Linked DNA regions of Oryctolagus cuniculus. The protein of the gene in region 2 purifies or fractionates together with the protein of the main gene of each other region. This does not show direct contact. Links are inferred from orthologs where the notes say so. Each region holds a gene or a part of one and is shown on either strand. Other genes may lie near its edges.

Evidence for each region.
Region 1: the proteins of PPP1R12A (region 2) and RHOA fractionate together in Homo sapiens (co-fractionation; 3 studies listed by BioGRID and IntAct, with this or other methods). This does not show direct contact. The link is inferred for Oryctolagus cuniculus from reciprocal best matches to the Homo sapiens genes PPP1R12A and RHOA.

Annotation. Positions count from the first base shown.
Region 1 is NC_091441.1:99,830,994-99,835,345, reverse strand, and holds the start of RHOA (transforming protein RhoA), read right to left. Parts: upstream 2,889-4,352; 5' UTR 2,612-2,888; intron 1-2,611. Other genes in the region: TCTA (T-cell leukemia translocation-altered gene protein), read left to right, coding at 3,218-3,440, 3,771-3,825. UniProt on the Homo sapiens protein: Small GTPase which cycles between an active GTP-bound and an inactive GDP-bound state.
Region 2 is NC_091442.1:82,588,543-82,592,166, forward strand, and holds part of PPP1R12A (protein phosphatase 1 regulatory subunit 12A), read right to left. Parts: intron 2,120-3,624; coding exon 1,998-2,119; intron 1-1,997. UniProt on the Homo sapiens protein: Key regulator of protein phosphatase 1C (PPP1C). Mediates binding to myosin. As part of the PPP1C complex, involved in dephosphorylation of PLK1. Capable of inhibiting HIF1AN-dependent suppression of HIF1A activity.

The DNA of each region.
Region 1 (4,352 bases), on a different chromosome or scaffold from region 2:
TATCTGTAGAAGTCCAGCAAGCCCAAATTAATTCTCTAGTTTAGCTCTCAGAGTTAATATATCTCTCAGCTCGCTAACACAAGTGTGTCCTGGCTGCTCCACTTCTGATCCAGCTCCCTGCTAATGTGCCTGGGAAGGCAGTGGAGGATGGTTCAAGTGCTTAGGCCCCTGCCACCCACCAGGGAGACCTGGACAGAGTTCTAGGCTTCCCACTTTGGTCCAGCCCCACCCCAGACGTTTTAGCCATTTGGGAAGCCAACCAGCAGATGGAAGATTTCTTTTTCTAACTCTGCCTTGCAAATACATAAATATGTATTTTTAAAATCTTAAAAAAAAATAAAGACAATTAAGAAGACCCAAAGTAGCAACTAACCACTTGCATATCACCCTATCGACAACACACACCTAAGATCTGCCCGTTTTTACTTTCCTAATAACTCACGCCCCCATATACCTAGGATAAACTTTTAAAACTTAACTGGCTGACAGCATAGGAACCAAAACTATGAAAATACTCTAACAAAAACCACCACAACACACATGTGCACAGGGGACTGTTACCCTGATATGTACAGTTCCTTCCTCAGCCTGCCCCTATCAGGAGTCAGCAAAAGAGCCCGCAGTTGTCTGAAAACATCTCAGCCTGACCTCATTAGGCTGGTTCTGGAGCAGCCAGGCCTGGGCCTCTCTCCGGAAATTGGTCGCTTGAGACCCAAACACCTAAAGCCAGGAATAGGCAGCCAAGGACCTTGCAGGTATATTCAGGTATTTCTCACAAGTGACTGCAGCGGAACCATCCCGTTACGGAGAGTGCTGTGACAGCTAAGGAACTGAAATTTGGCTGGCAAATCAATTTTCACATTCTCCCAATCTATGTAAAGTCAGCAAGGTATAAAAGAAAAAACGGTAGAGTAAGTCCCAAAGTTTAGCTGACTCTAGTCCAGCTGTTTGGGAGTGTATTTGAGAATATCCTGCAGAGCAAACAGTTCTGGCCTGCTTCTAGCTAGATAATACCAGTATGATCCTGCTTAATTAAGTCTCTGGGACTCAGTTTCCTCATCTGCAGATGTGATTGGACTACATGATTTTAATTCATTTTAGTACTAGGTCTATGAAGATAATTGATCGATGTTATAATCCTACTCTATTCTCTCCAGTACAGATTTTTATGAGGACAGTAAACCTAGTACTAGACTTTGACTAAAACCAAGTTCCATCTTACATATTTTATGTCCCCAAGAGCCATAAAGTGCTCTACAAAAGTAGATGGAACTAACCTAAACCTAACCTAAACTTTTAGAATTGATTTGGACTTGATGGACTGCTATAGACAACACATTGGGTCCAACTGCATTATGGCTACTAGTGACAATGACAAGTGGCATAGACTCACAGGAGTCTAAAATTCACCTTAGATTTGTAGTTTTAAAGGGTCTCTAGAAATTTATCAAGAGATGCTTCAATTAAGGACTAGTCTTTGTAAGTTTCAGCCCAAACAATGTCATTTGTGCCACATACAACATCTCCACCAACCCAGCCTGGGTGTGTGACACTAAGTGGCTGAAAAAGTCTCACCATATACACCATTTTAAAATATGGAGGTTTGGGGCTTTGACATTTTTTTCCCCTTCAGATTTGGCAGAGAGGAATCTAATCTGATTGCACACCTGCAAGACACATTTACTTCAAAAGATCGTCTTAAAGGCAGAAATAACCGAACAAGTGACCAACAGAGTCTAACATTTTGAGAACAGGACTACTAGGAAACACAACAGGAAGCAACACGGAGGTAAAAAGGATGCAAGCTTCCACCAGAAATGACAAAACACTGCATTTAACGAAATCGACCTGGGGGCAAACAATGCTATTTAATGCAGACACCCTGTAACTGTGTATCCTATCCAAAACCAGGGGCAGATGTTTAGGTGAGTCCCAATAAAAGGCAGCAACTTCCACAGGCAAAACTACCTGCATTTTAATGCAACGTTGTTTAAATCATTAAAAATTTTCAACTGGAAAACACCCTTTTCCGCCCCAATTCAGGCAGCAGTCCTAAGACCTCAACACAAGCTTTTTTACTTAAGACTCTCTCCAAGCATACCGCATCAAAAAAAAAAAAAAAAGGCAAATCTATTCAAAGCACAGCCGGACTTCTGCATAAAACGGTGATTCATGTGCTACAGCAGATGGAAAAGGTAAAATGGAGTTGTAAAGAGTTTCTCTCCCGTTTCAACTCCGACAGCCACGAGCGCTCTGCGGCTGCCGGCTGCGCCGCGCCGCGCGGCCAGGAGCCCCCGCCCAGCCCCGCGCGGCCGTGAGAGAGGAAGCTCCGGGGCGGGCGGGCGGCTGGGGCTCCAGCAGGCCCGGCCGGGCGGGGGAAGGGGCGCTGGAGGCGGCGGGGCGCGCTTCCGGGGCCGGCGCGGGCGGGGCCGCGGGAGCGGGGCGCGGGCCCCGGGCTGGAGTGAGGGTCAGGGGCCGGGGGCGGCCGGGCGGGAGCAGCAGGTGGGGCGCGGCCGCGGCGGGGCGGCGGGGCGGCGGGCGGGCGGGCGGCCGGAAAAGTGCCGGGCGGGCGGGCGGGCCCGGGGCGCCAGGAGGGGATCCTCCCGCTCACCTCGGGCGACGACTCCGAGTCCGGCCTCTTCGCGCCGAGGACGCCTGTCCGCGAGTCGCAAGCTCGGAGACGAGGGCGGGTAGCTGAGGCGGCGACGGCGGACTACCGAGAGAACCGACGGAGGACGGCGGGTGGCGGGCGGGGAGCGCGAGCGAGCGAGGGCGGGCGGCGGCGGGAGGGCGGGGAGCGACGTGCGCGTCCCCGAGCGCCCAGCGGGCTCGAGCCGGCCCTGGTCGCGGCCCCGCGCGCGCGCGCACACTCACATCTCAGCCACGATAGCTCAGGCGCGCGTCCACGCCCTAAAAGCAAGACGCTCAACCAATCATTACAGCCGCGTGGGGCATCACGGGAACTCTGGGGCTATAAAAGACCCGGTTGCTATTTTATACTCCGGGAGTCACTCATGCTTTAAGGGAGTAGGGTGGGGCTAAGTGCGCGTGCGCGGTTTTAATACTCCTCCCTAAACTGCCAACTCTTCGCCCAAGCGAGGTAGGCCCGCCCTGCCTGGTTCTACGCGTGCGCACTAACGGGCCTAGCCCCGGAAGACCTTACGCCTGCGCGGTGTGCACTACGGTGACAGTACCCCGGGTGGGGCGCGGGCCGGTCATGGCGGAGTCTTGGTCTGGACAGTCTTTGCAGGCTCTGCCGGCCACGGTGCTAGGCGCGCTGGGCGCGCTGGGCAGCGAGTTTCTGCGGGAGTGGGAGGCGCAGGACATGCGTGTGACCCTCTTCAAACTGCTGCTGCTGTGGTTGGTGTTAAGTCTCCTGGGCATCCAGCTGGCGTGGGGGTTCTACGGGAACACGGTGACCGGGTTGTATCACCGCCCAGGTGAGGCTCCCTATGAACCTCCGTGAGCTGGCCGCCCCCGCCCCCACCAGACTGAACCATTGGGTTCCTCAGAATCCCCCTAGACTACCAGAAGTCCACCAAGATCGTCAGAACTTAGTATTTTACCCTGACCTATGCTATCATACCGTATCATTTTATGCCAGAATCCCCACCGCTCCGCCCATCACGTTGTAACTGATCTCTAGAACCGTCACCAGACTCAGGACCCCTGGCAGATTCCACTAGCGGCCCCTACCCTGAATTGGGCTGATGCTTGCCCAGATCCCCACCCCCAGTCTACTGCAGCTCTGGCTGTGTTCCTGCCTTCAGGTCTGGGCGGCCAGAATGGATCCACACCTGATGGCTCCACACATTTCCCTTCGTGGTGAGTAGATCCGTCCCCCATCCCAGCCCCATGCATGGCAGGCAGAGAACACGCCCGTGCTGGTGATGGGGTGGGTAGTTGTCAGGGCACAAATCCAGCAGCACAGTGGCCTTGGCAGCAAGCTTCAGGTCTGCATGTAGAGGTCAGGGTTTAGGCTGGGCTGACACCAAGGTCTGGAAAGTCCATCAGCACTTGAGCTGTCCGGGGGTGGGGGGGTGGTACTGTCATAATTTCAGAAAGATGAACTAACAGATCTTCTGGATCCCACTCCCTGTAAGCCTCAGTTGGGAAGGCAGGAGCCGCTGTACTTAGCCCACCAACTGACCTCACTAGGGTCATTTATAAAACTAATCTCTGATGGGGGCTATGGAAGACCCAGAAAACAATGACAACCCAGGCCCTGCTCACAGCAGGAGCCAGAGATGTCTTTCTTTTTTTTTTTTTTTTTTTAAGATTTATTTATTTGTTTGAAAGGCAGAGTTAGAGAGAGGGAGAGAGAGAGAGATCCTCCATCTGCTGGTTCACTC
Region 2 (3,624 bases):
AAGTCAGGTGATCCCATGTTCTTTCCATGGAAGAAGAGAGTTAGAGATTAAAAACACAAAAACTTTTAAGAAATAAAAGTACATGCATTGCTACATCCAATGGCCTGAATGCAACTCATAATTTTGAGTTAAAAATCACTCATATGGGGACCAGTGCTGTGGCGCAGTGGGTTAAAGCCCTGGCCTGAAGCGCCAGCATTCCATATGGACGCTAGTCCTAGTCTTGGGTGCTCCTCTTCTGATCCAGCTCTGTTATGGCCTGGGATGGCAGTGGAAGATGGCCCAAGTCCTTGGGCTCCTGCACCCAGGTGGTAGACCCGGAAGAAGCTCCTGGCTTCGGATCAGCGCAGCTCCAGTCACTGCGGTCATCTGGGGAGTGAACCAGTGGATGGAAGACCTCTCTCTCTGTCTCTACCTCTCTCTGTAACTCTTTCAAATAAATAAAATAAATCTTTAAAAAAATCACTCATATGCTCCTCAAAAACAACAGTTAATTATGGTATTGGAAGTCAGAATACTGGTTGACTTTGAAAATGAACATAGGAAATGAAAGGGAGAAGATAGGGGCATCTGCATTGTTGTTTTTATTTCTCATTTTGAGTGGTGACTCCGTAGGTACATTTGCATTGTGTTAATTAATAAAGCTATACAGTTTGAACTATGTTTCCTTACATATCATAATTCAATAAAAGTTTTTCTTTGAAAAAATGGGCTAAAAAGCCAAATTATTGCTCTTCTGTAGTTATATGTTATATTGAAAGAATACAAATTTCATATTAGCAGTGCTACCCTACAGTTCTGTCTCTTACATCTGAAAAGCAATGTCAAGCATACAATGAAGGATCAGGAAAAAAATTAATTTTATAGGATTGTTAAAATTTTCTAAGTAAAGTACTGCTTCTATCCAGCATCCCTTGAGATAGAAATAATTCAGTTATGTAGGTCTTTTAAGGATATTTGTAAAAATTGGATTAAATACAATGCATGTTTTTTAAATTTAATTTAATTTAATTTAATTAATTAATTAATTTTTTGTCAGGCAGAGTAGACAGTGAGAGAGAGAGACAGAGAGAAAGGTCTTCCTTTTGCCGTTGGTTCACCCTCCAATGGCCGCCGTGGCTGGCACGCTGCGGCCAGTGCACCGCCCCGATCCGATGGCAGGAGCCAGGTGCTCCTCCTGGTCTCCCATGCAGGTGCAGGGCCCAAGGACTTGGGCCATCCTCCACTGCACTCCCTGGCAACAGCAGAGAGCTGGCCTGGAAGAGGGGCAACCGGGACAGAATCCGGCGCCCCGACTGGGACTAGAACCCGGTGTGCCGGCGCCACAAGGTGGAGGATTAGCCTAGTGAGCCGTGGCGCTGGCCCACAATGCATGTTTCTTACAAGAACCTTTAAGGTAAAGGACCAATTTAGCCAGGATATAATAAAAAATATATGTGGTTTGAATTGCAGCCATTAATATTCCAAAACTGAGAAAGAACTCAACAGGGACAGAACTCACACTTTTTTTTTTTTTTTAAAGATTTATTTGAAAGAGTTTCAGAGAGAGGTAGAACGAGAGGGAGAAAGAGAGAGAGAGAGAGAGAAAGGTCTCTCATCCGCTGGTTCACTCCCCAAATGGCTGCAACGACTGGAAATGTGCTGATGTGAAGCCAGGAATCACGAGCTTCTTCCAGTCTCCTATGTGGATACAGGGGCCCAAGGACTTGAGCCATCCTCTGCTGCGTTCCCAGGCACATTAGCATGAGTTGGGTCAGAAGTGGAGCAGCCAGGACTCAAACCCGCTGTATCACAGCTGGCCCCAGAACTCACGTTTTTTAAGTAGTACCAAAAATCCAAGTAACTTTAGAAGAACTTTCATTTAACAACCAAACTCAGAAAACAGTGATGATTTAAGAATATATAATCTGTCACACTAGAAATTATTAATGTGTATTTTTGAAAACATAAAGCATACTATCAAGCAGTTGTATAGTTGTATTTTAACAGATTCTTACATCTTGTGTCCAAAATGAAACTCCTGTAGATCTTCTTTTCTCTCTTGGCCGCCGTCGTTCTCTGATTGATTTTGGTTGTGACTTATCTTCTGCTTCTTTTTCCTCTTCTCTTTTTTCTCCTTCTGTTAAGAAAGACAATGAACCATATGTTATCTTGTTAGTACTTTAAAAGGCAAATGTCAAAACAATTTTAAATCCATCTCCTTTGCAAAGCCTAATAAATTTCTCTAATTAAAATTATTTTTTGTCCCTCTCAACGCTCCTATTCATTTTCCTAATTCCTACACTATAAAAATCTGGCTCAGTATTTGCTTAACAGAAAATAATGAATCCAATGAAAAGAACAAAGTTTCAGTTACTAATGTTACTAATGTCCGATAGAGAGATAGCTATTCTTAAAGCTAACATTCTAATAGAAAAACAGCAAGAATTCTCAATGATGGAACAGCTATTTGAAACTGTACAAGCTTATCAGTTTCTGCTTACACTATTGCCAGTCTTCACTTAGCAGTAATATAGTATTAATTTTATTTCTATTAGTATCTAAGAACAAACCCTTTAATCTGGAAAATATACATCTTTTTATCAAAAATAAATCACATAAAATATTAGTCTGAAGACTTTTGTTTCTTCCTTGGGCCAACTAAACAGAACAATAATAGGGCCTCTGAATGTGCTTAAAAAATGGTAAACATATGTGGAACAAAAGTGATTTTTTAAAAAAGACTTTGTCATTAGCAGAGAGTCTCAGAAAAACAGTATATTATTGAGTAGTTTTTGCTAAGGATCAGTTTAGAGAAAAGAACTCAAACTTCCATGCTACAGTGGCCATCCAAGTAATACAAATGAATTTAATGGGTCAAGAGGAAACTAATCAAGGGAGTACAGGACTGCTACTGCTTAGTTCCAGCCAACTGCAGACATAAGAGAATGCAGAAATCTAAACATTTTTGTGAATAATACTAATTTTAAATGTTGGCTCAAAATTTCCCAAAACTCTATGTATACCTCTTAAATAGAACTGAAATATCTCAAAGACCAACAGGAGAAAATCTATCTGAAAACTGGAAAACACTTAATTTTCTAATGTTTACCAACATGATTAGTAACATTATCATAACTAATACTATAAGATTTATCTTTTAAAGGATGAAGAGCCTATAATTAGAAATATTTTTATTTAGGATTCATCTCTGAAGTAGTAACTGACTAGAATTTAAATAGGATGTTTAAATGAAATAATAGAAAACATTAATATATAAATGAGAAAGAAATATTTTTTTGAGAATGATTATATTTTGTTCTAAGAAGGATATTATATATATATATAAAGTGATTTAGTTTAAAACAATTTCATGGAGCTGGCACCGTGACGCAGCAGGTTAACACCCTGGCCTGAAGCGCCGGCATCCCATATGGGCGCTGGTTCTAGACCCAGCTGCTCCTCTTCCGATCCAGCTCTCTGATATGGCCTGGGAAAGCAGTAGAAGATGGCCAAGTCCTTGGGCCCCTGCACCCACATAGGAGACCTGGAAGAAGCTCTTGGCTCCTGGCTTCGGATGGGCACAGCTCCGGTCATTGCGGTCAATGGGGAGTAAATCATCGGATGGAAGACCTCTCTCTCTCT